4 linked regions of the Elephas maximus indicus genome follow. The protein of the gene in region 2 purifies or fractionates together with the protein of the main gene of each other region. This does not show direct contact. Links are inferred from orthologs where the notes say so. Each region holds a gene or a part of one and is shown on either strand. Other genes may lie near its edges.

Region 1 (7,913 bases), on a different chromosome or scaffold from region 2:
TCCATATTGGAAAAAATACTGTTGTTATAAATTGAGGTCCACAACATATTTATGAAAAAGAGTGAGTTACAAAACAGGAATAATTAACAATTCTGTATTTGTGGGGGAAAACTTAGGGTATGTCTGTATTGCTATCTATGCAAGAATCTATCCGTAAGAATAAACCTCAACGTTTTAACAGTGATTCTCTCTGGGTGGTAGGATTAGGGGTGATTTTTTCTTTGATTTACTGGGCTCATGTATTAATAGTCCCCTTTTAACACGCAGAATGTTTGGGTGACTTTCCCTAGTTTGCTCCCACTCCTCACTGCCACATTTGTAGGTGAAGAAACTGAGGTCTGCCTACTCCAGCTGTTTCTTAGGAATTACCTTGTCTCATCTGCAGTGGTATTCAACAACTAACCAGTCTGAGAATCTTGTGACTGTCCAGCTAATGGGGTAAAACTCAGAGCTAGCACGTCTGCTTGCTTACTTGCTTACTTTTGCTGCTATCTCCCTCAGTCTACACTAGCTCACCTGAAATCAAATAGTAGAAATCATATCATATGATCGTATCATATCACTTTCAAGTAACTTAACACATGTCCTAATGCTCCAATTAAAATAGCATCAAATAAATGAAATTAGATTTTCCTTTCCATTTTCTGGAAGTGTTCCTCACCTGGGCAGCTCTAAGTGTGTTAGCTTCCTATTCAAGTAGCAGAGTTAAGGTTTTGAGGCATTTCCACTCACTTAATCTGTATTTATAAGCACCTAACACTTGGAAGGTTTTTTTTAACACTTGGAAGGTATTGTCTTGGTGTAAAGAAATGCGTTAGGCTGTCTGCCTAATTCCCAGAGTTGTTGGGTGGAGTAACCCAGATCATACATGATGCAGCTGGTTATCTCTGATGTCACCGGGCGCAAGGGGCAGTTCCAGGAACCAGTGAACAAACATCGTTATGTCCACAAGGCCCCTGTCATCAGTGAGCTTCTAATGTGTAATGAGGTAAACGAGTACCTAAAGTCATTCTAATACAGCGCATGCTTTAAGTACCTTAAGAGAAGTACAAATTAAGACACACACAAGCACACATTGTATTTTTATTGCACTGGCAAGAGAAGTGCTATTCCCCTGGAGAGAACAACAAGGACATCGTGAAGGAGGTGGCATCTCCCCAGGGCCTTTTGCAGGCTGTAGTTTTATACCCAAAAGCTCGTCAAACTTCTCCCAGATGCCTAGTATTTTATAGCTTACTTCGAAGAGGCCAGACATCAACATAAATGTTTTTCTTAAAACAACCTAGGAAGCCAAATTATTCTAAGTTTAAAGACTTCCAGATAAGGCTGTCAATCTTCCTCACACAGCACATTCCAGCATTGAAAACCTCAGTGTTAGAATAGTCCTTGTATTGACTCTAAATTCCTATCAGAATTGTGTAGATCTGTTTTCCCTTTTTTTCAGCCCTTACAGGAAACAGAAAATAGAAGTTCTCTCCATATCTTACGCATGCCTACCATCTGAAAACTTCTAGAAAATTCTATCCTTCAAAACAATTTTACTGAGCACCTATAACGTGCAAGAGAGACATAAATGTTGAATTGACGTTATGTTGTGTTATATATATATATATTTTTACAATTAAAAAAAGAAAAAATTGATGGTGTCTTAAAATTAAGGAAATAATGTGATGATAACCATTAGCCATTAGGGCTCAATTCTTCAGGAGTCATGGTCCCACAGGTGTCTGGGTGCCAGACAGAGATACTTGAGAGATTTCATAGTTATCATGTATGGTGGATACCACAACAGTGAGGCAATGTCCCTGTCCATGTCTGACTCAGAGAAGGTTACTCTTACAATGATTTTACCAGGTTCACATCTCATCTAATCACCTCCAAATCTGTCTCTCCTACCACCATAGCAACCCACGTGACCAAGGGGGCAAGAGAAGAGTTTTCTGATGCTTCTAAAAGTCCAGGAACTTGGCCCATCCTTGGATGTCACCTGAAATATACCACTACCACAACGATCAGGGCCACGCTAGAGTATTCCACTTCATGTATTGAAAAGGCCTAACATACCTGGAATTCAAACACCAGATGGAGTGCACTTCCCTCCAACCTTACTCACAGGGGACTCCAGCTAACCCCAAGCAAAGATGCCTCCAAATTTGCTCTAAAGCGGTAGTTTGGGGACAAGGGAAAGCCATTATGCAGGTGGAAGCCATTCGAAACTATTCAGTTTTGAGGAGATAACGTCAGATATCTAGCAGGGAAATGGGGAGATGAACTGTTTGTTCTCTTGAGTATAAACTGCTCCCTGCAGTGCTTTGATACTGGACCACTGGAGGATTAACATCGGGCCTCCCCAGCAATCTTCATTTGTTATCATGGCTCACCAGTGACAGAAGAGAGCCATGAGTGAGGCACATGTGTCTCATTTAACTCACTAAAGCAAACCTGGGTCTACCTATTATTATCCTCATTGTAATAATGAGTAACGGGCTTCTAGACAGTGAGTGACCTGGTCAAGGACACACAGCCAGGAAGTGTTAGGATATGAGTGAGGGTTTAAACCACCAAACTAGCCTGCTTTCTGCTACTACTTACACATAGAGATACACTAACAGCATAGATTAAAAGAAGCCGAGATGACACAGCTCGTTGATTCTAAATGTCTCATTCATTCAACAAAGACAAGTGATTCTGTACATTGAAGGACAACTATAAAATGTACTTTACAAGTAAATATTTAAGAGTAATGTCATCATAATTATATTTATATCTTCAGAGTGCCTTTGTCAAAACTATTTCCATCTTCAGATGCAGCCTAAAAATAATTGTACATTGTACGTTTCTTTTCAAGTGGAGTTTAAACCATCTCATACTGTTTTAATATTTAACTTCAAATATTTCCATTTCTAAGTTAACAGAGTTTTATGTTCAATGTAAACAAAAATTCTTAAGTTTTCACTTTCATTTTCTTCTGACACCTTCTGCAAAAGAATGCTGTATGTCCATTTTTCAGATAAAGAAGGCTAAAATAGTATGATTGGAAAAGAGAAGGAAGGCATGCAGAGAGAGCTAGTAAGCCAGCTAAGGATGGAACAACTCCCCAGGTCTCCAGAGAGGTGGACAAGGCATCTATAAACCAGCATATACTGCCTGACTGTATCTGGCTTAGCCAGGTACATACCTTTGCAAGTGGCTGAATTTAAGTCCAGTGTGGCACTTTCAGAAAATGGCATCAAAGGTTGGACTATAAATCTTTTCTGATTCTCAAGTCACTGGACATTTAAGAGCAAAGATATTGATGGGCTCTTTCCCTTCTCTTTTTTTTTCCTTCTAACAGATGTATGATTCATGGATTGTCCTTTAGTGGTCTCCAATTCCATCTTATTACTTTTTCTTTGCTTCTGCTTCCTGACAGCTCTGAAAAACAAGGTACTAAATTATTTTGTAGAATGAGCACAGTAAATTCTGTAATTATGTTGAAGTTTAATTAACTAGCTAACCAAATAAGAAAACAGAGGAGAGAAGGAATTTACTGTATTATAAGCATAAATCCACAGAACTCTTACCATAGTAACAAGGAGATAGCCAGAAGCCTGACCAAACAAAATGTTTGAGAAAAGAAATTTCTTTGAAAGATGGTTACTACACATTTAGAACAATCTGTTTAGGACAAACACATCACAGAGGTAGTCAAGCCAATGAGTTATGTTTTTGGTTTTTTCTGTTTTGTTTTTTTTTTTTTTTTTGGTACATCCATACTGCTCAACTCAGCACTTCAATCTTCAAACCCCTGAATTACATTTTTTACAAAAAGGACCTATGCATTCGGCAGTTAGCATAATGGGAAAATGACAACACTGGAAGGGGCCCATTTTATAAGTCCTACAGTCCTTGGGCTAATTTTCCTTTCCTCAGGAACTAAAAGTCCTGGGCAAGTGCCATACAGGTTGTCCACATTTTGTGGTCCCTGTCTTCCTGAAAACTAGCTTCAAAATGAAAAAGCTGGACCCTGCCCTCTAAAAGCACTAAACCACACCAGAAAAAAACAGATCATTTGCTTCTGGCATTCTCTGAACTAAGTTACGGGTAATCTGTGGCTGAGAAAGACTACTGGTTTGTACATTCACTTTCTCCAAGCTGGAAGAATACCATTTATCGTATCATGAACCAGAGAACAGGTTGGGCTTAACAGTTCTGGCAAGCCTAGAAATTTCCCGTCACTAGTCAGCAAAAGGAAACCCTGGTGGTGTAGTAGTTAAGTGGTATGGCTGCAAACCAAAGGCTCAGCAGTTCACATCCACCAGGTGCTCCTTGGAAACTCTATGGGGCAGTTCTACTCTGTCCTACAGGGTCGCAATGAGTCGGAATCGACTCGACAGCACTGGATTTGGTTTTGGTTTGGTTTAGTCAGCAATAACAGAAGCCCTCGTGGTGAAGTGGTTAAAGTGCTCGGCTGCTAATGGAAAGGTCCGCGGTTCGAATCCACCGGACTGCTCCACTTGAGAAAGATGCAGCTGTCTGCTTCTGTAAAGATTACAGCCTTGGAAACCCTAGGGGGCAGTTCTACTCTGTCCTATAGGGTCACTATGAATCGGAACTGACTCGATGGCAATGGATTTGGTTTTTGATAGCTAGCAATATCAATAGTTAGCTTCACCTCTCGTAAACCACAAGCCCTGGGGAAAAGCTTATTTTTGACCTCCCAGGACCAAAACCTGCGAAAGGTTTCACAAACAATACATAATCCCCTAGTGAACCAAACTTAAGCCTCACTTTTTGTTCACTCGGCATAAGTGTCAAGAATACAAAAATGAATGGGCATAATCTTTGACTTCAAAGAGCTAGAAGACAGATGAGGCGGAAATCACCCTCCTATCCCTTCCCTAGGCTTTTTTTAGGAAAAGAAATTAAGGCTATGAAAATCTACGATCATCCAGTGAGGAAGTGGCAAAACTAGACTGATTCCAGAAACTGCTTTTAATCATTTTGGATGCTATGCATTACTATAAATTACTCAGCTATGCAAAATGCTAAGCATATGGTAATCACTCAATAAATATTAGTAGTAGTTCCACACGACTCAAGTGTTATTCAGTTTCGCTTGACAAGTTTGCAATGTTCCGTATGTAGACTTTGCACTATGGATTGGAATATTCTATCAGTTCAAAATGAAAACAGTCATCTTTATATTGTTTTTGCACGTTATACAAATCTCCTCTTTCCCCCAGCCAATTTTTAAATGTAAGATAATTTCCTGATAAGTGATGATTTAGCAAGTTTAATGAAGTATAGTATAATCTCTTGATAACAAAGTCAATGCCTGTACAAATAAATTTAAACAAATTTTTCTTTGGCTCATCCGCGAATAAGCATGACTAAAAATCAACACTATAACCAGATTTCACTAGGGGATACAGTAAACAAAAATAGGTGGAAAAAAATCTTAATATATTCATTTTCAATATGAATAAACAAAGCTTTGCAGATATAAAGTCTTGAAGCTGTGATGAACTGATTGAGTATAAATCAAATAATTGTTTTTACTTAAAATTAAAGTTAGTCTTTGTCCTCTAAAAGTATTTATGTAATTGACAAAATGAGTTTTAACCACAAGAGGGAGCCAGCATCATTCCAGTTCACAACCAAAGGAAAATTAGCATTAAGGAAAAACAAATTAATATAAAACAGCTGTAAAAAACAGAAGCTAAAAAGATCTTTTATGCCATGTATGCCTAAAATACTATTAAAATTATTTTTTTACTATCTTAAAGAGAAAAAATAACATAGCCTTGTTAATTTTAAAATAAAAAATTTTTTAAGAGAAATGTTAGCAAGAGTTTAGGAATCTTCTCTGAGAGAAGCAAGTAAAATACTATTTAAGAATGACCAGATATACCACATCCCCAAGGATTTGCTCTTAGACTTAAACTTCCTAAAATCTGTACTGAAAGACACAGATGAATTCCCACAATGAAAACAATATACGGTAAAACCTGTGAAAGCCGGAACCTGTGTAAGGTGGAAACCTGTCAGAGAAGGAAAACACAAATATTTTCCACAAATAGAGAGCAACAGAAAAGTAGTAAGACTGCAACCTGTCAAAGGCCGAAAACTTTCAAGACCCAGAAAAACAAGGCAGTCCTGTCACGTTCCAGCTCTCACAGGTTGTACTGTATTACCACAAAACAGACTAACTGAGGCTATTTAAAACCCAGGAAAGAGCCTACCGGGCCCTGGTGGTACAATGGTTAAGCATTTGGTTCCTAACCAAAGGGTCAGCAGTTCGAGTCCACCAGCAGCGCCTTGGAAACTCTGGGGCAGTTTTACCCTGTCCTATAGGATCTATGAGTCCGACAGCAACAGGTGTGTGTGTGTGTGTGTGTGTGTGTGTGTAAGAATGCAAGTTCAGTTTCTATGTATCATGAGTTTACAGAGGTAAAGGCTGAGCATGTTATCTTCCTGTTCCTACTGAGAATAGTGTAACAGTCACAGACCGATAGTTTATTAGGTTGCATTCTACTCTTAAAGGTTTCTACTAGAAGATTTTGTAAGATTCGTCAATAAGTTCTGTCTGTTTCTATAATGATCTCAAATCCCATAAGGTCTAAGACACTATTATGCTTTCAAAATACATATGAATAAGCACTCATAATATGAACTTAGAACTATGTCTACCACTCTGAGGCTCTCCTAATAAAGTAATTTAGAAAATTTCTAAACTTAGACACAGAAACACAGGAGCATGTGAAGTATGTAAAGAATGTAAATAACCTTTAAGTTCACTCTGACCCAGCATCCTGTGATACAAGAAAACAACATTAATTAAACAACCTCCCTAATGTCTAACCTTGAAGAGAAAATGCATCTTTTGGCTACTCTCTAACCCTGAAGAAAAGACAGAACATACTAGTCTTTGACGTCACACTGGCCCTCATGTGAAGCCAAGGTGATAAATTCACATATAAACTCTAAATTTCTGCTCGCGTACTGAGAGAAGATAGATATGGAACTGAGATTCTGTCCACCACCACTGGCCTTGGACCCTAGCTGTAAGGGATCTCTAATGAGTTCCAGCTGTGGTGAAGCCTGCCTCCTGAGACCTCTCATCAAAGGTATAAACCTGAAAGCAAAAGATTTGGACTCTAACCATTGACCAACATTGTAATTGTAAATTCTGATTCTCCAGTTCTAAATGAATGTTGTGAGGTCTTACCTGCATGACTACCTTGCAGTAAACTAAAGCTTATGCATATCAAACCTGAGTATCTCTTTACTAATTTTCTAAGATATTAAAAGCCTACACGACAGCCTCTTTAATGTTTTTAAAATTCTACTTCCATTCGGGTTACTTAATGGAAAAAATTATTTAAAATAGAGTAAATCTGATAAAAAGTAATGGAAAAGTCAGTTTAAGTAGGAGGTAGAATTCAAGTGGCTGGGTTTTAATGAAAAAAATTAATTTTCACAAAGAAAATAAAAAGAGATAATAGAATCCTAATACAATCATAAAATAGTAACTAATGAATGCATCATATACTTCTAATACTAATAGGTGTTTTTTCATCACAGCTCACATGACGGCTCAGAATCTTCTATCTTGATTTCAAACGTTCATGTAATGTGAAATTTGGATATCTGGTAATCTCTACCTAATAACCATGTGACCTTAGGAAAGGGTCTCAGTTTTCTTATCCATAAAACAAGAGGGTTCAATTCCTATCATCCCTTTAGTTTAAAAAAAAAAAAAAGATAATTATAATCATTCAAATTAGCCTGGTTGAAATAGCAATGGTTTTCCTAAATATGCTATTGTTACTGGTATAACTTTTCTCTGGTCTACAATCAATACCAAATATTGGTGGTAGTAGTGAAAATAATCATAGAAAAGAATGGCAATAAAAGTTTGAAACATTTAC
Region 2 (8,401 bases):
GTGATACACATCGTATCACAAATACCAAGGGAGTCACAAATTACCAAGCCCTCAGGCACTGGGTTATCTTCTACCAGTCTTATTTTTAAAGTCATAAAAGAGGCATGGAAACCCTGGTGGCATAGTGGTTAAGAGCTATGTCTGCTAACCAAAAAAAAGGTCAGCAGTTCGAATGCCCCAGCCGCTTCTTGGAAACCATATGGGGCAGTTCTACTCTGTCCTATAGGACCGCTAGGAGTTGGAACTGAATCGACAGCAGTGGGATTTTTTTTTTTTTTTTTTGGTTTTTATACAAAAGCAATTCCTTTCTCACCCACAGTAAATTTACTTCTATCCAAATTTTCTTCCCACAACTAGATACTTGCCAAACATAAGCATGCATGTGAAAACACCTATAGGCAGTCTCAATTTCTAAACTATTTCTTAAAAAAAAAAAAAAAAAATGGTTTTCAATTACTACCCAAGATTCAATGCAAATGAGCATTTTTCTTTCTTGGTGTGGTTACTAAACAAAATGAGTGCCAATAGTCATTTTAGACATGTTCATAACAAGTTATTCCAATTTCACTTTTCCAGATATTCATAGAACTATAAAAATCCATGGAAATTCTTCAAATACAATTTGTTCTACTTACCACTCCCCAGTTTACCCCATATCTATAAGTCATAAATACAATGAACTCACAATAAAACCAAGGAACAGGCTTCAGGCAGTATTATCGAGACTAAAAAAATTCTAACCAAGGGTCTTTTTTACTATCCACACTTCCAAACAAGACACTGCACTAAAATGGAATATTTCCACTTATTTTGAACGACAGTGCACCTAAAAGACTGGATTACTTGTTAATTTTTAAATGCACAGTACAATAACTTTATTAAATTTCTAACAGGTCCCATCGAAATGTCTTCAAAATACCTTAAGAAACCATCTTATTCCTAAATTTCAAAATCCTAAACAATTTAACAATAACAGAGATCTCACCAGATCACTTAGCCCACCCCCACCCCTACCATTCAAGTCTATTCCTTCAAATCTAAAATCTTTTTTAAACACCACCAGAAATAAGAGTATGCCTTCGCCTTACAGACACAAGGGAAGACCCTTCTAGAATAATTTTTGAGCTCATGCCTCCCTGAGGTAAACAGGAACTTTTTTATGCCCAGGTTTACAACAGAACACAGTGTAGACACTGACAAGAGTCCTAAGCTCTCCAGCTAGGTTTGAAGTCTAAATAATTTGGACAGCTACCGTAAACACTACTGTTACTTCAAGGCAGATCCTTCAAAAGTACTGGGATACATTAAAAAGCTTAACTATAATCAAGCAAATGTTTTTCTTAACTGCTGTTTCTTTAAAACTATCTTCAATTTAAAACCCTAGTACATGAAACATTAATCCTAGTCTCACATTTAGTCTATCTGAAAATATTCTTTTAAAGTAATGGAATAACCAAATGAGAAATTTAAGAAAACAAAACTTAAAAATAATTTTACTTATTAAAGTACCCAAAATCAAAGTACTAATTATATTCATTTTTAGACACTTTAGATGTGTAAAATGTCACAGAAAAAATCCAAAATATTTATTTAAATATAAAATATCACCAAAAATAACTTCACACAAAACTTTATGACTCATCAATACTTAAATGATGCCTATAATTATCAAGAACACCACACACCTAAGAATACTTTTTAATTCCTTCCATTCTAAAACTAATTTTCTTGAAAAAAAAACTGACAAGTTTCATCAAGAGGACCTCATGTCAACCTTTCCCTTCCACTTCCACAAACCACAAAATCAATCCCATTCTAAACACTATAAAGAGAGACAATCTCTACGTTAGAATCCTGAGTCATTACACACAAATGGTTCCAAAATTTGCCAGTATTCATAATGATTTACAATAACACGGCGGTTAAGAGCACAGGCTCGCTACAGACTCCATGCTCCCGCTGTTTGACCTTGGACGTGTCACTGCCCTTCTGTCGGCTCAGTTTCCTCATCTGTAAAATGGGCAGCAGTTCCTCCTGGCCGGATCAGCGAGGTAATAACATGTAAAGCCCAGAGAGAGGCACCTGGCACTACTCGTCCTCATCTTCAACTCCGTGTAAGAATAACGTTATAACGTATCTTTCCTGACAACTCGGGCAAAACTCAATAATCAAGTCGTGCTGGCACTCAAGCGCTATACGGACATCACAGGGTTCCTATAACCTCCGGGTGGATGAAAACCACAGCCAAGAAGTCAGAGGCACTCACTCGCTAATTTTTCTATTTTTTAACTATTTCAGAATATGGAGGAGCCTTTTGCTAAGTGTGGAGATAAATATTCAGCAGAAATGTGAGTTAGAGTCTATAAATAGCTAAGTGAAGTTATGTCGTAAAACACAGGTATCAATTATAATTCACGTCTTCCCAGTCACCAACTCCTCCAGCTGCTGAATAGGGCATTACTGCATCTCGAGTGGCCGGATTACTTGCAGTCACTGCACAACTTCAGAACACGCCGAGTCCCACTCCCTCCAGCACCGACCCCAACGGGTTGTGAGGGATCGGGCTCCCGACGTTCCCGGCGCCCAACCTCGGCTCCGCCGTCCTCGCCTCGCCCAGCACCAGCCCCATTTTCTTAACCCAGGCATTGTCCTTGCTAAGAACCCCGGCGGTTCCCACACTGGTGGGGACCAAGAGGAGGGACGAGGGAGGAGCTGGGGGAAGAGGATGAGGAGGAAGAGGAGGAGGAGGAAGACAACCTCCTCCCCTCGGCTCGGGCGACCAGTAAAGGTCTGGCGCTTTCTCCGGCCCCTAAGGCCCCGGCTCCCGAGAGGCCGCGGCCCCCTCCTCCCGCCCTCCGCAACTTTCCCTGCACTCGCACCCGCCTCTCCTCCAAAACCCGGCCTTGCAGCCTCCCTCCCCGGCGGCCGGGCCTGGGCCCGCGGCGCCTCCTCCTAAAATGGCAGGTCCCTCCCTCCGCCCGGCCGGCCTCGGCGCGAGCCCGGCTACAGGCCGCGGGGGGAGCCGAGCGCCGGACCGGGCGGGGCCGCGGCCGGGCCGGACACTCACCGGGACGATGGCGGGGTGCTCGCGCCGCTCCCTCCGGTGAGTCTCAGCCTCGGGCTCCCGCCGCTGCGCTCCCGCCGCGGCCTCCGCAGCCAGCGCCACCCCGGCCGCCTCTCTCCGCCCCCGGCTCCTCGCCCGCGCCGCAGTCTGCTCAGTCTCTCGCCGGCTCTCGGTTCCAGCGGCGCCCGGGGCCGGGGAGGCGACAGCCCCCTCCCCGGCAAATACCGCAGTCCCCGGACCCCGACTCCCGGCGGCGGGGCCGCACGGCCCGGCCCGGCGAGGAGGGCGGCGGCGGCGGCGAGGCCGGGCACCTAGTCGCGGCCGCTCCCGGCTGCTTCTTCCCGAAGAGGATTTTGTAAATCTCACAAAATGGCGCGCGCTCCAAACCTGCGCAGCGAGAAGCGCCGGGGCCCGAGCGGCGGCGGCGGCAGCGGCGGCTTCTCCGCCAGGAGCGCCCGAACCGCCCGCCCCCGAGTGCCCGCACAGACAGACACTCACACACACACTCGCACACACACGCACGAACACTCGTCCTCACACACGCTCACTCACACACTCTCACACTCACACCGGTCCCGCCCGCTCGCCGGCGGCGGCAGCGGCACCAACAGCAGCAGCAGGAACAGCAGCAGCAGAAGCGGCGGCGGCGGCGGCGGCGGCACCCTCACCCCCCGCTCGGGGTGTCCGCTCCCCGCGCCCGACTTGGGCCACGATCGGCAGCAGCAACGGCAGCAGTGTCCCCGGATCCCCCCGCCGCTGTTGCCGCCGCCACCCCCGCCTCACTCCAATGGGGCTTTTTATTATTATTCGGGCGGGAAGCGAAAGGGTTTAAAAAAAAACCAACCAACAAAATGGCGGCGGACCGATCCGGTCGCTATAGCAACTGTCAATCAAAACGCAAAACCCCGGCTGACGTGCTGACGTCCTCCTCCCGCCCCCCGTCCCCGAGCCGGCGGGCGGGGCTTGTTGCTCGGGTAACGGCAGATTCCGTTCCCTCCTTTCCCTCTCCCTCTCCGGCCCCAACCAACCACCCAGCCCCCTCAGGTCACGTGAAGGATAAATTCGGAGCTCGGGCCCGCTACGAGTGTCAGAGGAGGGCGCGTGATTCGCTCGGGGGAGGGAGGAAGAAGAGGGGGGACGGACGGGCTGAGGGAGGAAAGGGGGGCGAGGCGGCGGCCAGCCTGTGCGCGAGCGCCCGCCGCCTCCCGACCCCCGCGCCCGCCGCGCCCGCGCCGACTGCGGCCCTGAGAGCGCGCGCCCTCCCGCTCCGCGCCACCGCCCCCGGAGCCCCGCGCTTCCGCGTCGTGCGCCCGCGGCCCCGCCCGCGCCGGGGGGAGGGGCGCCGATGGGGGAGGGGACCCAGAAAGCCCCCCCGCGGGCGCCCGTCCACGGGGCTCTCACCGCGGTCCGGACGAGGTGTTCGCCTTTATTCCCGGGGCGCGCGGCGGCCGCGTGGGAGCAGCCCGGCGCACACGTCCATGGGTTTAAAGTGTTCTTTGAAGGGCTCGCGTCCCCCCCTCGCCGGAAAATGCCCACGGAGGCCGCGGTGGGGGCGGGGTGGAGGCCGCCTCCGCACTTCAGACATCTCAGGAATTCCGACGCTTCCCCGGAATCAGGGATGTCCCTGCGGCTGACACCTTGATTAAATCATGCCGCTCAGATTTTTAAGGAACCAATACCAACGTTCAAGAATTATGGACGTAGCTGTCATAAAAACTTTTCTAGGCAGTGCACGCTCCGCCCATGCTTCCCCATCTATTTCGAGCCTTCTTTTTTACCCCTCCCCGCTTCTGTGGGTACAGCCTGGCTTCTCCATGGAAATGCCCCTCAGATTAATCCTTTTGTGCTATTACTATGTCCTTGTCGTTCGACTCCTTTTTTTTTTTTTTTTTAATGTACCTTCTCAATTTCCAGATACTTAATTTGCCCACTTACCTTGACAATCAGAACAGTTATTACTATTTTGGCTTGCATTCAGGTTTTGTTTTGCCTGACTAAATATTTCTAGGTGTGCTCCCCAGGCATTAAAACCCAAGCTATGTCATGCTGGCTACTTTGTAATTAGGAGACAGCCACTGGCTAAAAATTGTATTTTGTACCAACCGTAATATAAGGGCCTTTAATGTTCAGCTGAGAAGAGTTTATATATTATTTTGTACCAAAAGTCGCTAATATACTGATTTATTTCTAAGTTCGGTTTTGCCATCTTATGATGGTGATCATATTCGTTTTTTCTTATAGGAGCCTTCAGCTGTTCACAAGTACGGTAGCAACATATAAACAGTATTAGGTGTAAAAAAAAGTATTGTAATAAATACTGATAGCTATCTTATGTATGTGACTCAAGGAAAGATGTTTGCTTAAAAAGATTTGCAACAAATGTTCTGTTTCTACAGTTAGTAGAACATTGACAAAACCAAAAAAAAAAACAAACAAACCAATTGATGCGCTAAGGTAATCATTGAAGTTAGTACAGGCCCTGAAAGAAATCAAATTAAACGTAAAAGAAATTAGGCAAAAAGTATTCAGGCATGTGTATGTTAAGGGTGGTGGGATAATTAGGAAGAAAATGGGCACAGAGGAGTGCAACCTAAAGAGTGTAATCAATGTCGTTGAGTTGTACAGGTAGAAACTTGAATTGGTGAATGTTTTATTGTGTATATTTTCACCACATTAAATAGTGTGTATATTCAGGCAAAAATAGCTTACTTCAGTTTGATTCTTCAGGGTATCAAAAAACTACAAAAGTTCTTCTGGATTGCTGAGTTTTTTCAAAGTTACCCTGGTACTGTAATTAACATCCACATTGTACTTAGTTGTTTTGAAGGAAGAGGTAGTGGCCAAGAGTGTCCTTATACAGATGAGCAATCACTACCTTGGTTTTACCCAAGATCAAATTTCCACTTATACAGCCAACTTCCTCCTCCTTTTCTTGTCCCTGCTCCGTCCCCTTTACATGGTTATGCTTCTGTCTAATCACTTAGGCATTTGTAACCCTTAACACTAAAAAAAAAAAAATTGGCAACAAGTGAATTCCGATTCACAGAGATTCTATGGGACACAACAGAACTGCCCCCACAGTGTTTCCAAAACTGTAAATCTTTACAGAAACAGACTGCCACATCTTTCTCCTGTAGAGCAGCTGGTGAGTTCAAACCACCAACCTTTCAGTTAGGATCTGAGTACTTAACCACTATATTAAATGAGCCAAAATTAATTGCTATGTCAAAGAGTAAAATCTGAGAGTTTGTGAAGTAAAAGCAAGGAGTTTATTGAGGCAAGATACAATTTGCAAATTGGGCAGCACTTCGTTCAGAGAACAAGGCGCTCCATCTTTCTGGGGACAAAATTGAGCTTTTATACACAAAGTTAAAACCAAAAACCAAACCCATTGTCATCAAGTCGTTGTCCCTATAATCCCATAAACATTTCAAAAACAGCTCTTCATATCAGTTAATCTAATCTCAGCCTAAGAGACAATTTTCGAAAAGCATTCTTTCCAAGGACATTGAATTTGTGTCACATGTTTCCTGTAACATTCTAAGCACATTTATTACTTTCCTTTCTGTCTCCCTCCCCTGTTTACTCAGAGTAATCTGGATAAACCCTTTGTTGAGATCCAAGTCCTCAGCCATTTTGGCCTGGCTGAGAGCCTCTGTTTGATTTTAGAAGCTACTTATCATCCCCCTCTTTAGTAATCTGGACAAACCTTTTATTGAGATCTGAGTCCTCAGCCATTTTGGCCTAGCTGAGAGCCTCTGTTTGATTTTAGAAGCTACTTATCATTCCCCCCTTTTGATCAAGAATTTATAGAATTTCTTAAATCACAAAGACCATTATGACAGCCCTTTCTTGTGCATGGTCTTTAAATTGTGCTGTAATATAGATGGCTGCTTTCAAGATTTTAAGGCCCCAGATGCTGCTATGCTTTTACTGAGTAGCCAGGCACCATCTAGTATCTGCACTATGCCATTGCTTAGTCACTCTCCTCCTGAACTGATGGTAAGGGGAGCTTGGAGTAGAAAGGCCAAATTTTTTAGAGGAATATCTCAGCATTACGCAAGCTGACAAACTGCGAAGGCACAAGCTCAAAGTTCCAGAAACTTGAACCTCCTCAATATATATATACTTTGCATAACTTTGGGTCTGGCGGTGTGACTGCAAAAGTTAGATATATAATTCATGATGCATTTAACCAGTCTTATAATTAACATAATGATCAGAAGAATTAGTCAAGTTTCTAATGATGAGCATAACGAAGAACCAATGCCATTGGGTAACCAACTAAAGATATCAAAAAAGGAGAAGAAATTACTACAAAGAGAAATATAAAACTTAAGTGGACTTTCATGTTGAATAAAATTACTAAGGAATAAGGCCACAAGTATGGAGTAATGCTAGCAGCATAAGGATAGCTACAATTATAAAACAAAGGCCACAAAGTTGAGCAAGATGCATGGAATCTTGTTCTGTGATCTTAGGATTAGCTGCCTACCTTGGATGTCCTCTACTTCTGGCCTCCAGAGTGTCTCAAGGTGATTTTTAGCTTTAGAGGGCTAGCTGGTCTACAGAGGCAGCATGGACTTTTTTCAGTTGTGATAGATGGATTCAGGGTTTGACTCCTAGTTTTGGGGGCACACGAGTTGGTGAGGAAGTCTAGGTATGGTCCCTTTCAATGGGGTTCTAATGGGTCCTTGATTAGTACCTTTTCTAATAAATGTGTGTATGTATATATATATATATGTATGTATATGCATATATACATATATATAGTCTCCCAGAGTGTTACGGATTGAATTATGTACCCCCCAAAAAATGTGTGTAAACTTGGCTACACCATGATTCCCAGTATTGTGTGGTTGTCCTTCATTTTGTGACCTTATCCAATTGTCCTATGTGTCAAAAATCCTAACTTCTATCATGTTAATGAGGCAGGATTAGAGGATGTTGTGTTAATGAGGCAGGACACAATCTACAGGATTAGGTTGTATCTTGAGTCAATCTCTTTTGAGATATAAAAGAGAGAAGCAGAGAGGAGATGAACCTCATTATTACCAATCAAGAAGAGCCAAGAGTGGAGCACATCCTTTGGACATGAGGTCACTACACTGAGAAGCTCCTAGACCCAGGACTAGATTAATGACAAAGACCTTCCCCCAGAGCTGACAAAGGCAGAAAGCCTTCCTCTGGAGCTGGCACACTGAATTCAGACTTCTAGCCTCTGAAACTATGAGAGAATAAATTTCTGTTTGTTGAAGCCATCAGTATTTCTGTTATAGCAGCATTAGATAACTAAGACATGGGGTAAAGCTAGGTGGATTTTGAGTGTCTGACTTC
Region 3 (8,139 bases), on a different chromosome or scaffold from region 2:
AGTTAAACCCATAGATTAGTTGTACAGTTTTAATTTGGGTTTAGGGGGGCAAGATGGGATGGGGAGAAGTAGGATGGGGTAATAATAACCAGGGAACTGGGGGCACAAGAGCCTGCATTCAAAATCACCTCAGTGTAAGAAACTGACAAAACCACCTGGTGTTACAAAGGCAGAAAAACATCTCTAGTAGAGAATGCCCTTCCATTCCCAGCACCAGCTCCCTGATGATGCAAATCTGTCTGCTGCACAACTAGACTCAGAGAAGTGTTTTCATCATGATTGCATTAAAACTGCATTAAAGTCGGATGCGCCACACTACAACAAAGAGGATAGCTTAAGCCTCATCACAAATTTCATTAAAACTACTTGATGATGGAGCATGTAATTCCCAGGCAATTAAGGCTTTTGAAGGATGAAGAAAAACAAGTTGTACTATAATGTGTTGTAAGATGTGTTTTCAACAAAAGGGGAGGAGATACTCAATGGCCATTACTGTTGCAGCAATGGCCGAAAATACTCTTACGCTGCCCACAAAACCCTGTGTACAAAAAATCTGCAATATTTATTTTATCACTTTTACAGTAATCCCTAAAATAAAACCCTGAAACTCAATTTATGCACTAGTGAAGCTAAATCACTCAGAAATTCATGTAACTGCTGCCTCCTTTTCATTTGTTAGCTCTAGAAAATGTGCAAGGGAGTTGCATATGGCATTAATCTGTTAGAAAATGGTGGCCTTTTCTATAAAATACAGCCAAAGATGTGTGTTCAGTTGTGGTCATTATTAGGGCGATCACGTTGTTTTCATTCATTCATTCAGGATTTGCTGGAGGATGTCAGTTTCTGCAGCAGCTGGCTTGACCTGGGGGAGGAGTGGGGGAGCAAATTCCTCCTGGTGCATACAGATTACAAGATGTATTTCTTGATGCTCACGTACAATCCCACTGCACTACATCCTACCCTGGTTCACCATCAAGTGGTCTGAAAACAAGTGCCTTAGCAAATGCTAATTACAGGTCCGAAATATTAAAACAAAAACATCAAAACTACAATCTGTCAAAACACAGACTATCACATTCTCCAAGGCTAAGACCTTCATCAAGAAAACTCCATTTAAAAAAAGAATCCACATACCACGTAAACATTGTACAGAGCTCGACAGTGTTTTTGCTTCCAGCCAGAGATTTTCCACTCAGTCTGATCTGCTGCCTCCTCAATGCAGCAGCAGCATCTGTAGCTGCAGACTGGTATCTAACAGTATTAACTACTCTGATCTCCCTTATGAGCTTTGGCAAATCTTCCTTTTCTCCCCCAGGACTCAACTAGATCATTCACTGTGTCCCTAGACATACACCAAACCAAACCAGAAAACATGATGGGAAGCTCACAGCATCCACCAGTTCACCATTACCTTTGACACCTAACAACAACAACAAAAAAAACTTGAGATTCTTGAACAGTTCGACTGAACTGTTAAATGAACATAAAAGTGGAAAGAAAAAGTGAATGCACTGCACAAAAAGGTCTTTAGAAATTTACCATAAAAATCTTGAGTTGGGCATAAACCGTTTCCAGTGCAGTATTGCTATGATGCGTAAAACTACACAGAGAGGACGGGGAGACTTAAGGCGGGGAGGGGGGGTAACTCCACTTGAAATGCATTCAAAATTGCCCCCTCTATACATCCAGCAGATATCATTACATCATACCTACCACCACCACCCCTCCAAAAAAGAAAACATTATCCCCATAGTTACATGCACGTTAGGAACTTTGTAGGAAGCACAAAGGGGCTGCAGAGATTACAACCACCACCTTATGGACTGCTGGAGAGTTTGTGTGCGTGTTTAAGTGTTTCGCCCAGCTCCTTCTTCCCCAGCTACAATCAGCAAACGCGAGTGAGCTAATCATCTATTAAACTGAAAAACCTTTCGATGCAGGCGAATGATAGGAGATAAAATCTGAGGGGCTGCACGAGGGTCAAATAAAAGTTGCAGTTTTCAGTTCGCTCAGCCAAGCCCCGCTGCGACCGTAGGGGGGTGAGATTCCCAAAGCCACTTTCACACCTTCGATAATGCACTAGCAAAGAGAAGCCCGGAGAGGCTGAAGTTTCCACGGAGGGCACCGTCGGGGAGACGCAGCCCGGGAGAACGGGAGGGTTGGGCTCGCTACCTCTGCACACAGGCGAGCCGGGGCTCCGTCTCTCAGGTGAGCTGCTCCTCCGGCGGCTCTCGGGCGACCGTCTCGGGCGGCCCTTGGCCCGCGGTGCCTGCTCGGCCGGGGCCGCGGCCGGTGGCGGCGTCGGGCTAGGCGGGCTGGGGCCGCGGGCCGCGCCGGGCCCCGGGAGGCTGCCCAGCGAGGCGGCGGCGGCTACGGCGGGCGGGCGCGTGGGACTGTGCTGGCTGCTCCGCAGGAGCTGGTAGGGCACCGTGGCGCGGATGGGTTGCAGCAGCCGGCCGGCTCCCGCAGCCGGGGCGCAGCCCACGCCGCCGCCGCCCGCACCGTTCCCGCTCCCGGCGGCGGCGGCGGGCGGGGAGCTCGCGGCGCTGCGCCGCATCCTCTGCGGCGGGGGATGAGGGATCTGAGAGGAACTGGAGGAGGAAGAGGAGGAGGAGGCAGTGGACATGGTGGCTCCGCGGGCCCTGGACGACGCCAGCCGACACGGAGGCGCGGAGCTTGTGGGAGCCGGCGCGATAGTGCGTGCGAGTGTGTAAGGGGGAGGGGCGGGGATATCGGGAGGGGGAGGAGTCTCTTGGCTCCCCCTTCCCAACGCGCACCCCCGTCACCTCGGCGAGGGGGGAGGGGAAAGCTGCGAAAACAAACGTCCAACGGCCCCAACCGCCCGGTCGGGCTTGCTGTGGTGGTCACGGCTGGAGCCGCGAGGACCCCGAACCTGCCGCCGCCCAGGGCATCGCGCTGACAGAGAAGCGGGGCAACTGCCTGAGTCACGCAGCCCCAGGGGCCGCTCGCAGGCTACTTAGCCCTGGCGGGGCTGCAAGCGCGGTAGTACCAGGCAGCTGCAGGGAGGGCCGGGACCCCTGCTTCTGGAGATCAGGAGAAAGGGGAAGGGCTTCAGGGTGCTTGGCACGTCTCAGAAGCCCCGCCACCGCGAACGCCGCCGCCTCCTCTACCCGCTCCTCACTCCGACTGGCAACTAATCCCCCCACCCTCACCCCGCCCCCGGCACCGCCTCCCGGCGTTTGGGACCCGGCAGCTGCCGCAACGAGGTTTCCCATTGGCTACGCCGCTTCCGCCAGCACGCGAGTGATTGGTTTTAGAGTAGGAGTGAGCGGAGCCTCCACCAATGAAAGTGGGGCATTCTACCTTTGGGCGGAGGGTGAGGGAGTGGAGGAGTGAGGAGAGGGCTAAGCGCGCAAGGAGCGCCGTGAGACTTGACAGCCTTCGGGGTGAGAGGAGACTTTGGGCAGCCCTAGGAAACTGGGTCCATGTGTGTCCTGCGCGTGCCTTGACACCCACAGACACGCGGACGCTCCCCTGAGCAGGTTGCAAGTGCTCCACCTTCCTGGGCAGTCTACTACTTAAGGCAGAAGACACTTAAGGCAAACTTTACTTTTCAAGTATACTTTGTTCTGGTGGGATGTCTTAGAGTTAGAGTCAGAAGGATCCATCCCTTCCTTTCTAATTTTAGTAATCTGAGTTTTCGTGGCTAGTAGACTGATCAAAACAACTTAAGGTGCTTAACATAATTATCAAGATCAGGAGTAATGTCTAGAAGCCGGATGAACTAAGGGACCATCATTTCATAGCCCATCCTAACATTTGTAGTTAGCAGTAAAATGAGATGATGAAATCTTATGCTCCAGGACAGTATTACATGGGTCAACAAGGACTTTTACATCATTCACCACCAGTTAGATATAGTCACTCAGTATCCAAAGGGGATTGATTCCAGGACCCGCACAGGTACCAAAATCTGAGGATGCTCAAGTCTCTTACATAAAATGGCGTAGTGTTTGCATATACTTCTGCACATTCTCTCATATACCTTAAATCCTCTCTAAATTACTTTTAAAACCTAATAAATGTGCTATCTAAATAGTTATTATACCGTACTGTATTGTTTAGGGAATAATGACAAGAGGTGAACAATGCTCAAACAATGAGTGTCAGAGAGACACTGATGATCTGTGAAATGGCAGGAGGCTACAGTAGGGTGTGCCTACACATCATTTCATTCGCATGGATTCAGTGTATTGCTCAGCAAGTGGCAAATTCAAGTTTTGATTTTTGGAACTTCTATTTTTTATCTCTCACTCTCTCTGGAATAGTTTTGATCCACGGTTGGTTGAATCTGCGGATGAGAAACCAGCAGATACAGGGGGCCACGATATATTAGTGGAGGACACATCCTTGACTTTCTCCAGAAGCAGCCTCTTGGGAAGAATAAATACCAGACTTAATGTAACAATGCACTGGGATAAATTCTGTTTGTATTCTATAATGCAACTGAAGAGGTACAAATGCTTTGATTATCAGCAACTTAAGTTAACCTCATAGTAAACCATGGTTTTAAACACTACACAGGAACAGTTAATTTAAGAGTCTACATCAGATATCTTCCATTAATTAGGTAAAAGAAGTGGGACCCAGACCGGTCTGCCCAAACTGACAAGCTTCCTCTGATTTCAGGCACTGCAGGGGTCTGTTTCACTCACAGGAGGCATCTCTCTCTCTGTTCCCTTGTGTTCTCAGACCAGAAAGCATACTTAGTTCTGTAAAAAATTGATGAAACTCAATAAGAACACAAAAATTTCAGCCAGTACTTCATCCCATTAAGACTAGGGAAAGTTCCTCACCTTTTGTCACACTAGAATAGTAGCTAACATTTACTTAATATTTACCACTTCCCAGCCAGTGTTCAAGAACGTTCCATGTGTTAACCCATTTAGTCCTCTCAACAATCCACAAGGTAGATACTATCGTTACCCCTGCTGTGTTCTCAGCTGAAGCACAAAGCAGTTAAATATCTTGCTCAAGATCACTCAGCTATTAAGTGGGAAGCCAGGAATCTAAAACAGGCAGTCTGGCTCAAGTGTCTGTGAATAGCTCTCTCTCTACTGCCTCATAGCTTAAAGCTGTGGAGTAGATGATTGGTAGGGTATTTACAACAGTCTATAAATCTCACCTGTGAGATAAATTCCCTTTTGGTTCAAAAGACATTTTACCAGTGAAAACAGCCCACTGTTGTTTTGCTTTCCAAAATAACATGTATTTTCATTATAAATAGGGTAAATACCTTACTCCTTCAACTTTGATATAATTCATCTGATTTGTTGTGTTAGTTTTTTCATGTAAAAATTAATGATTCCTCATTAATTATGACATTGCATTCTTTCAGGCATAAAAATGACGACAACAAATGACCTCTCTGGTGAATTATTCAGAATAGTAAGAACAAAAAAACTTGACAGATTAAAATATGTAAAGCTTTAAAAAATGCTGGTAAGTTTCTAAGTTGTTGCTTTAATTACAGCATGGTTTCATTACAGAAATTTTATCTCTGGCCACTCCTTAATATAAGTATGGAACAACCTCAACACATTCAAACAAAAAAAAAAAAAATGTTTTTACATTAGAGAAAAGAAATTAGATTATAATAATTCTAAATTTTTACCAACTTTCAGTAAAACGACCAATACTTAATTTGAACTAAAACTAGCCACATTTTAAGGCTTTATGTGTTTGTTCAAATCTACCATAGCCAACTTAACTCAGATATCTAAAGCAAATCTTAGTGAACTACACAAAGAATTAGTATGATCCTAAAATACTATTTTCACTTACTGGTATGTCATCTTGATTTATTTGGAAATTCAATCCCTCTCTTTTGAGTTCTTAATAATATTTTATTCTTATTGGGGTTGGGAATGGGACTCCAAGAGCATGTATAGGCTTTAGGAAAATGTTCTTCTCAGTAAATTGGAAATCCTTTAGAAGGAAATGTGGATTTCTGGGCTAGAATAGCATTTTTATGCTACTGTGCTAGCTACAAGATAGGTTGGCACTTTGCCTATTTTGTTAAATGTAAATGTAGCAATCTCTGATAAGTCCATATAAGTCTTAATGTTAGTAATGACCTCTTTACTATGTTCTTCTTACCAGAAGAAGACAAAACTGAAAGCAGCAATGTGGTAGCGTGGGGAAGGCCTTTGTTCTCAGTAGCCTCCTTGCCTTGGCTACCTGTGGGATAAGACTCCACCATTAGCTAATCGGAGGTAGAATTCTATTGTACTTACTTCTTAGTTCAAATATGGTAATAGACTATGGTTTAGGGTAAATTAAAACATAGAATTACTGACTACCTATGATTAATATAGAGTTCCTGGGTGGTGCAAATGGTTAAGTACTCAGCCATTAACTGAAAGGTTGGAGGTTCCAGTCCACCCAGGGATGCCACACAAGAAAGACCTGGCAATCTACTTCTGAAAAATCAGCCATTGAAAATACTATGGAACACCATTCTATTGTGACACACAAGGGGTTACCGTGAGTTGGAACTGAATCTCTCCCATGTGGAGAGATAATCAGATGAAGAACCATCAGGCCTACAGAGCTACTGAGATGAAAATCTTCCTCTTCTAGTTCCATCCAGGTTTGCCAGGCTGTACATCCAAGGCCCATCCATATCTAAAAAGCAACCCAGTCTGCTAGTATTAGCAATGAGGTCATGGCTGGGAGAGAACACTAAACAGATCTGCACTGATGTTCATTTTAAGCGGATTAAACTCTCTTGTAGGTGATTCTTAGTAGCAACTCAACAAAAAAATCCTTGCTGCATTTTTGTCCCTGGCAGATGCTGCTAGTAAAACTGCCCACAGCTTGTGGCAGCCTACGTGCTCCTTTGCACTGCTGTTCCCTCTGCCTGAAAGGCTCTTGCCCCAGATATCCATGTGGCTTGTTCCCTCATTTCCATCAGGTCTTCACTCAAATGTCACCACCTTTATGATAACAGCATCTCTGAACACCCTTTTAAAAATTCTAAGTCCTCCTTAGGCGTTCCTATTCTCTATCCCGCTTTATTTTTCTCCAGAGCACTTGTTGTCATCCAACCTAGCATATATTATAATCATCATTTTGTATGTCTGTTCTGTCTGGAATATAAGAGCCATGAAGGCAGGATTTTAAAATCTATTTTATAACTGCAACATCTCCAGAACAGTGCTTGGTACATCATAAAAAATTTTAAAAATCTGTTCAACGATGTTGAGAGAGTAGCAAATTTTAACCTATACTTGTCCCATGAATGAAAACTTGAGCTTTTCATTTAAAAAAAATTGTATGATAGTAACAGGTATAGCTCTGCTGGAATGGCAAAGCCACAGAGTAGAAAAGTGTTCTATATGGCTACTGTAAACTACACAGATAGGTGCATTGGGGCTGACATTCAAAAAGAAAGCAGTATCTTGTATTGTGGTCCTTATACAGGCAAAGTGAAAAACATTAGCCCCAGTGGCTCCTGGAGGCTCATCAGAGGTTGAAAATGGAAAAGAGAATTGATAATGAAGAAAAGACAGTTGAACTTTACAGGAAAAAAGGACAACTGAAATAGAGAGTGACAGTTGAGGAGGATCAGTTAGGGAGTGACATCTGCCTATTGACATCTGCCTAGTTGGTTCTATCTCGCTGTTATGAACAGCTATTCTCAAGAGGCTGTGTAAAGGAACTGAAAAATATTTAAGTAGAAAGGGACATATTATGTAAACGATAAAATTTTTGTTTTGTTTCTAATAAGAAAGCTCACAGAAGTTATGGAAATAAGAGTGCCTTCTTTTTAACTGGCATGGTCATCGAAAGAGTAAACATGCAATTATTTCTACAAGGACAGAAAACGATAAAGACCACCAATTTTTCAGCCTTGCATCTCCATAACAATTCCACTTGTCAACTATGATGCTAGTGGCATATCCCCTAAGCTGGTACATAAATTGATTTTTACCATTTAACTAGAAGGCTATATTGTATAAAGTCAGCACAGTTGCAGGCTAAAGACTTGGGACCAAAGAACTGTAAATATTCTAACTCATTCCATGCTGTGATAGTCTATTTGTTTTATCCCCAAATAGTGCTAGCAATACATGGAAGCGGTAGTCGTCCTATGAAGGCAGTATGCTTGATTAT
Region 4 (7,336 bases), on a different chromosome or scaffold from region 2:
GGCACAGCTCTGAGTGTTACATCACTGTGAGATGGGAAACAAAAAGTGACGACACTGAATTGTTTCTGAAACCCAGTCGCAGCTCACATGCCTTTTTACACAGTTGGGTTTCAGAGCCCTGTTTAGAAAGCTCATTTTAAAAGATGAGGAATAAAAGTGCAAGGGGCCCTGAAATTCTGAAACCTGCAGTACTGGTTTCAGACCAATCTGGGTTTGCTCTTTGAAGCCTGAAAAGGCAATGGGCTCTGGCCAACAGTGCTCTCACTATCACCTTGGCCAGGGAGAGGGAATAATAATAATACACCAAACCAAATCCGTTTCTGTTGAGTCGATTCCAACTCATAGTGACCCCATAGGACAAAGGAGAACTGCCCCATAGAGTTTCCAAGCAGTGCCTGGTGGATTCAAACTGCTGACCTTTGGTTAGCAGATGAAGCTCCTAACCACTATGCCACCAAGGTTTCCAACAACAATATAAGAAGCAGCAAATACTTTTATAGCACCTTCCATGTGCCAGGCACTGTTCTAAGCACTTGAAATCTATTAATTTGTTTGATTCTTATGATGTAGGTATTATCCACAGTTTACAGATGAGGAAACTGAGGCAAAGAAGTAACTTCCTCAAGGCCAGCAGCTACTAAATGGTAGAACCCTGGATTTGAAACCCAGGCATTCTGGCTCCCGATGCCATGCTATTCAAGGTTCCATGACTGCAACGGGTTTCCCTCTATCACATTTACCCGACTGGCCTACAAGGCACTCCTGCCACTTCCCCAGGCAGGCCAAGGTACGGAAACAGTCTGAACACACATACAGGTTTACGTTAACATGCAGAAAGCCTGATGTGCTCCCAAACCAAAGGCCAGGTACACTCCCCTATTGCCTAGCCACAAAGAACATAGGCTCAGGGTACTCTTCTTTTACCTTTTCTCTCTCCTGCTGCACTGAAAATCTATAGCTAATCCCACTATCCACCAGGCAAGTGCCATGTTAATGCCTCTGGTATATTAATAGATAGAATAATGATCGATGAACCCAATCCATGAGCAAGAGTCCACCCAACTTGCCTTAAATCACCTGTCAAGTTAAGCAGCGATCTAGCTTCCTATGTTTTGACCGTTATCTCAGGAGCTCTGTAAAAGAACAGGTCATGTAAAGAACTCAGGCATCCAAACCTACACTCTTCCCCCTACCACAGCATTCACCAGTGTTTATTTACCCTTTTATTATTAGCTCTATAGACACAAAATAACAGCTCTTAAAATAGGATTGCTAATTGATTTCCGGCTACAACACAGGCAGGTATTCTGTGGATTTCTACTAAAAAAACTAAGGTTCTGGTGCTTGCTGTTCTACTAACTTCCCTGGGCTCCAAGGAAGCCCAAACAAAACCAACAGGTTTGTAGTCTTGTGGTTTGCTTTCCAGCTCATGATAGGCATGTGTTTCTCTGGGCATTGCCTTGCTCTACACAGCCAGATTCTACACATACTTTTACCACTTGGTCACCATCTTGCTACCAGATTTGACCAAGTTTCTGTGTTCCAAGATGTGATGCTAACGTTTGCAGTAAGGTCCAGAGAGACTTGGGGGTTTTCTACCTCAGAGACCCTCTCAATCCCATTCCTACTTAGCAAGGCACGATAGCAGCTCTACTTTCGGGAAGGGGATGTGCAAGTAAGTTTAGTAATCACAAAAATCTCAGGAGACTTTGGTTCAAGGAATGCCATTAGCCGTTAAATGGCAGGGACCACGACTTTTGTACATTTGGTACAGACTCAGGCTTTGCAAGTGTGCAGTGATCTGTTCACATCTGGTGTAAATCAAATGTAAGCCTCACTTTCAACTTATTGCCAACCTCCTCAAGCAAGTAGGTTTCTTTTCCCTTTCCTAACGGCCTGCATTTGTGGAACTGGTCACAGCTTTGAGTGTGAAAGCAAGGTTAAGCTTGCTCCTCCCTAGTTTCCCCACACCCACCACATCAAGCTGCTATTAAGACACCTTTTCAGTGTTGTTCAGAAAGTGGGGTATTTGCCACAGTGTACTGATTGCTGCCCTCACCCCCACTGCCACGTTGGCTGGCAATGCCCAAAACAGCCTTGGTGGGGCGAACGGGGGGAAAGGCGGAGGGTGGCAAATTGGGTGGGGGGGTGGCGGGGAGCAGGGGAAGCAAGCTACCCAGGTCCTATACACACAGACACGGTGTTTGGAATGAGACAGCCAAATTAAGCAGGTCAACGATCTGGGCACATACAACTTCTGGGCCACACAGAGAGCAATGTGGGGAATCGGGAGCCGAACGTTTGTAGGCAGTAAAAGCCGTTAACCTAACTTATTCCAACAGCTCAAATAAAATCAGCTCCAAGAGGTGGCATAAAGGGAAGCGCACGTGAACTGGTAGGGAAAGAAACTCCACTGCTGCAGAGAGGGATGCTGGGGCCAAACTCAAGTTGGAGAAGTAACACATGGCTCCACTGGGCGCTCCTCCATGCTCCTCCCCCTCCCCGTGCAGGCGTCCAGCGCCCACCCGCACCTTGCTCCCAGGGCCAACCCTCGCAGCAGGGCACCCCCCATCACGCGCCACTCCCCCCTCACACCTTGCTCCCATCCCTAAATCTTCCGCTGGCCGCCACACAACACCTCTGCCCACTTTTCGGTTACACCCCCAAAGCCAGACTCCAGCTACCAGGTCCCACCCCCCCACCTCCCAGCCCCAAGTGAGTTCTGGCGGTGCACCCCACGTTCACGACTCCTCTCGCTTCCTCCAACCTTGCAGACTTTGTGTCCCCTTTCTCTACTTCGCCCCCACCCACTTCCCCCTCACACTTCCCCTCCCCCCTCATCACGCGCCCCCCTCCCCCACGGCTCCCCGCCCCTCCCCGGCAACCGCTCCAGGCCCGGCTCACCTGCGCGGCCACCCCCGTCCCGGCGCTGGTGCGGCTGCTGTAGCTGGAAGGGGACCGTGGCCCTGAGCGGCTGCAGCCCAGCCCGGGGAGAACCGGCGGGGGCTGGGGGAGAGCAGCCCCGCCGGAGCCCCCCGGCCCCTCCGCGCCCCGGCCCCCAGGCACCTCCGCCTCTGCCGCCCGCTGCGGCCCCCGCCATCACCCGCCCAACAGCCCTCCTGCCTCGGCCCCGCAGCGAGCACACACAGCCCCCCGGTCCTCGTCGCCGCTGCTTATCTGCCCTACGGGGCGGAGACCGGCCGCCTCAGCTCAGAGCTCTCATTGGCCTATGGAGCCCCAAGAACTACCTCCCGGCCAATCCGCGGCTTGCTTTTCCCTTTTCCAAGCATGATTGGTCGATGGGCCTAGCGATCCGATCCAAGACTCCACCCCCACCCCACCCCCTGCCTGCTTCCCGACGGCCGAGAGGCCACTGATTGGTCAGTCTGGAAGAGGGCTGGTTCTCCAGAGGCACCAATGAGAAGACGCAGAAAAGGGGAGCGTCACACCCAGCCCCAGGTAGTATGCAAATATTATCACGTGACACTAGGCTGAGCTGGGGGCGGGTTTGGGTGTGGGTTGGAATCAGGCACTGGTGAAATCATTATGTGGGCTGGGGGGTGTCAAACTTTCAGCAGTTGAGTGCTGGCAGCACGGAGAAAGTGATAACTTCGAAAGCATTACATTGTTTTAACCTGAAAACATTATTTTTGAATCTTCATAGGATCTCAGTGCTGCTAAAAAAAAAAAAAAAGTGCTGCTAGCAACGGCCAAACTAAGATTCTACAAATTAATGCAAAGTTTGCATATTATTTGCGTGCTATTTGCATAACATTCTTGCACTTAAAGGTTCCCGTGCTCATGTGACACATTTGTCTTTCTCCACGTTTCCCAGTCCCTACTTGGTGTTGGTCCAACCTGAAAAAAACAGCCGCTAGTCTGCAAATTAAATTGGAACTCTGAAAAGGAGAGCAGGGAACTTCCCTTCAGAGTAGTCTATTCCAAGTCTCTAGCTCAGCAGAGTGGAAGGAACAAAGTGACTGAAGAACTTGCCCAAGTTTGTTCAGTGACTCCATTAGCAAATCCTGATCTTCCCAGTTCAATGCTCTCTGACCTCTAATGCAAAATGACACCGAATAGTCCCCAAAAAGAATGCATACAGCTGTGACAATCACATGATGTTAATATAAATGAAAGCATTTGAGTAAAGAAAACTGCAGTTAAGGTGCTATTAGAAATTATTATGCTTGGTATTTATCAACCATTTTGTTCTATACATGGAAAAGCAAAGGCAATCAACCCTATATTGTCTGCGTCAAGGGACCATTCAAATAATTGGATAATTCCCTCCAGATTTATATTTAGCTATGAATCCTATTTTTGATCTTGCTACAGATTTATCTTTCTATTTCTGTTTTTGCCCAGTTTTATGTTAAAATGAAGGTATTCCCTGAAGATATACTAACTAATCAGAGAAAAGGAGATAACCTGGGATCATGCCGGGAGGCAAGGAGAGGTCATTCTGGGATTAAATATTGAAAGCAGATAATACACAAAGTGGAAATTCAAGAGTTGGCTGAATATTACAATCAACACAGAATGAATTGAGGAAATGGAATCTTCTGAAGAATGGTGTTCTTTGCAAAGAGTGCTCTATTGCTTGTTTGAAGGATTTAATTCAAGATCTGACATTTGAAATCTCTTTTAACTGACTAAAAAAGTGCTGGACTCCTTTTCCATGAAAGGGACAACATTACTAAAGGCAGATACCTCACTGCAGTTGAGTCGATTCTGACTCATAGTGACCCTACAGGACAGAGTAGAACTGCCCCATAGGGTTTCCAAGGCTGTAAATCTGTACAGGAGCAGACTGCCACATCTTCCTCCCTCAGAGCAGCTGGTGGATTCCAACTGCGAACCTTTCAGTTAGCAGCCAAACACTTTAACCTTGCATTTGTATTGTTTCTCAATTCCAAATAGTTCAGAGTCTTCATATGCTTTTTTTTTTTTTTTTTTTTTTAATCCTTATGACAATCTGGAAGAAGAAAAGCATGGATTTTCACCACAGTGTAGGTAGAGAAACTGAGGCCCAAAGAAGGGAATCCTTTTGATTCCTAGCTCAGATCTCTGTCCATTTTTGGACCACCCTGCCACAAACCTTCCTTAATAAAATCAGTAATGGTAGCAGCACTGACATTTACTGAGTTCCTTTCTCCATGCCAGGTACATGTTAAGCACTGTACCTGCATTATTTCATTTAATGCTCATGATCAGACTGTGAGGTGGATATTATCTCCTCTTCATTGAGGCCTCAGAGAGAAGTGCCCAAGTTTACCCAGGCAGGCTGTCTCCAGAGCCCAAGCTTCTAATCTCTACGCTTGTAACTCTTTCTTATGAACACAAAAGTATTACCATTTATAGTTCACATAAAGAATCTCCAAAGATGCAAATCTGGCTGAGATGTTAAAATGATTTAACAACTGACTAGTGCTTTATAACTTTCACATACATCATCTCATTTAATTCTCACAATATGAATGTAAGGCAGAAAATGCAGATACTATTGCCCCCACTTTACAGAAGGTTAAGACACAGAGGCTAGATAACTTGCCCAAGATCATCCAGTTATTAAATGGAAACCCAGGACTTACATCCTAGGTATTTTGACTTCAGATTCAAGCACTTTCCCAACCAACACTCAATTTACAGTCCACTGGTCTTGGCTGAGGAGAAAACGTGGGCCAGTTGGTCTCCTGAAGTCTGTTCTTGCCTCACAACATACACCATTTTAGGACCCATCTATAAATTCTCTGAGCCCAAAAGGTCTGCAGTTCAAATCCACCAGTTGTGTGTTGGAAACCCTATGGAGCAGTTCTACTCTGTCCTATAGGGTCGCTATCTTAGGCATCTAGTGCTGCTATAACATAAATACTAAAAGTGGATGGCTTTGACAAAGAGAAATTTATTTCCTCACAGTCTAGTAGGCTAAAACTCCAAATTCAGGGCATCAGCTCCAGGGGAAGGCTTTCTCTCTCTTTTGGCTCTGGAGAAAGGTCCTTCTCATCAATCTTCCCCTAGACTAGGAGCTTCTCTTAACAGAAACACCTGGTTCAAAGGATGTGTTCTACTCCCAGTGCTGCTTTCTTTGTGGTATGAGATTCCCATGTCTCTCTGCTCACTTCTCTCTGTTTTATATCTTAAAAGAGATTGGCTTAAGACACTATTTAATCTTGTAAATCTCATCAATATAACTGCTGCTAATCCATCTCATTAACATAGTGATAGGATTTACAACACATAGGGAAATCACATCAGATGACAAAATGGTAGACAATCATACAATACTGAGAATCATGACCTAGCCAAGTTGACAGATATTTTGAGGGGACACAGTTCAACCCATGACAGTTGCTTTGAGTCAGAATCGACTCAACGGCAACAGTTTTTTTTTTTCTATAAATTCTCAGGCAGTCTTAGGAGATGATGAATGGCTTTTGTTGGTTGAGCCACATAGTATGTGTTAGAGGTAAAAGCCTTGAGATGAGGGATCTTTAAATACTTTGGGCAAGTGGCTTCAACTCTGTGCCCGAGTCACCCCTGCTCTATCTACCTCTCAGAGTTGTTCTAAAGATAAGACGAAATGTTGTAAGATGCATTCTTCCCTTGAAGAGAGGGGTAATATGGGTTGTCCCAAGGACATGTGGTTTAAACCTTCTGTTCCAAGGTACCAGGAATGGAGGGCCTGGACAGGGAAGGAAGAGCCAGTGGAGGTGGCACAGCTAAAGAATTGGATCTTCTGAGTCCAGAGAGACATGGTCTTTCCTGATAAATAAGTTGCTGGCAAGAGACATTAAAGTTGGTCCTAGCTGAAGGAGTGAGAAGGCAGGCATGCAGGGGAGAACCCAGTCCTCTCCTTACCAGGTATCATCCCCAACCAGCTGTCTCTTATCCCCTTCTCTATCACTGATAGCTTCTTTGGCATAGGCATGATGGGAGGATAAGAACCTCATCTGAAGATCAACCCCTGTCTGTTTCTTCCAGTGAAAGAAGCCATGGCTTTGGGGGAGGTTGTGTGCTGCTAAGAGGAGATGCCTTGTGTTGCAAAGCACCTGCTTGTGTTGCAAGAAAACCTTTGTCACTGTCCCCATTGTCATCCTTATAAACATCATTGTCATTAATTAATTTACTGATCACAAATTTATTGAAATGATCACTATATGTCAGACACTGAGCTAGATACTAGGAAATGACAATAATGTTCAGAGACATGGTCCTTGCCCTGGAGTTCACAGCCTAGCAGGCCTTGGAGCCCATACACAGAAGTGGCACTGGGTTAGAAGCTACTCTAATCGAGAGACATAGCCTGGTTCCTACTTTCAGGGACGTCAGATGTGAG

Evidence for each region.
Region 1: the proteins of DYRK1A (region 2) and ANAPC4 purify together in Homo sapiens (affinity purification with mass spectrometry; 3 studies listed by BioGRID and IntAct, with this or other methods). This does not show direct contact. The link is inferred for Elephas maximus indicus from reciprocal best matches to the Homo sapiens genes DYRK1A and ANAPC4.
Region 3: the proteins of DYRK1A (region 2) and GLCCI1 purify together in Homo sapiens (affinity purification with mass spectrometry; 8 studies listed by BioGRID and IntAct, with this or other methods). This does not show direct contact. The link is inferred for Elephas maximus indicus from reciprocal best matches to the Homo sapiens genes DYRK1A and GLCCI1.
Region 4: the proteins of DYRK1A (region 2) and FAM117A purify together in Homo sapiens (affinity purification with mass spectrometry; 4 studies listed by BioGRID and IntAct, with this or other methods). This does not show direct contact. The link is inferred for Elephas maximus indicus from reciprocal best matches to the Homo sapiens genes DYRK1A and FAM117A.

The regions. Positions count from the first base shown.
Region 1 is NC_064823.1:137,986,211-137,994,123, forward strand, and holds the start of ANAPC4 (anaphase-promoting complex subunit 4), read right to left. Parts: upstream 3,267-7,913; 5' UTR 3,179-3,266; intron 1-3,178. Other genes in the region: rRNA N6-adenosine-methyltransferase ZCCHC4, read right to left, coding at 3,267-3,414. UniProt on the Homo sapiens protein: Component of the anaphase promoting complex/cyclosome (APC/C), a cell cycle-regulated E3 ubiquitin ligase that controls progression through mitosis and the G1 phase of the cell cycle.
Region 2 is NC_064820.1:219,102,673-219,111,073, reverse strand, and holds the start of DYRK1A (dual specificity tyrosine-phosphorylation-regulated kinase 1A), read right to left. Parts: upstream 3,159-8,401; 5' UTR 3,068-3,158; intron 1-3,067. UniProt on the Homo sapiens protein: Dual-specificity kinase which possesses both serine/threonine and tyrosine kinase activities. Exhibits a substrate preference for proline at position P+1 and arginine at position P-3.
Region 3 is NC_064826.1:68,678,460-68,686,598, reverse strand, and holds the start of GLCCI1 (glucocorticoid-induced transcript 1 protein), read right to left. Parts: upstream 3,137-8,139; 5' UTR 2,627-3,136; coding exon 2,173-2,626; intron 1-2,172.
Region 4 is NC_064837.1:43,842,519-43,849,854, reverse strand, and holds the start of FAM117A (protein FAM117A), read right to left. Parts: upstream 3,157-7,336; 5' UTR 3,101-3,156; coding exon 2,905-3,100; intron 1-2,904.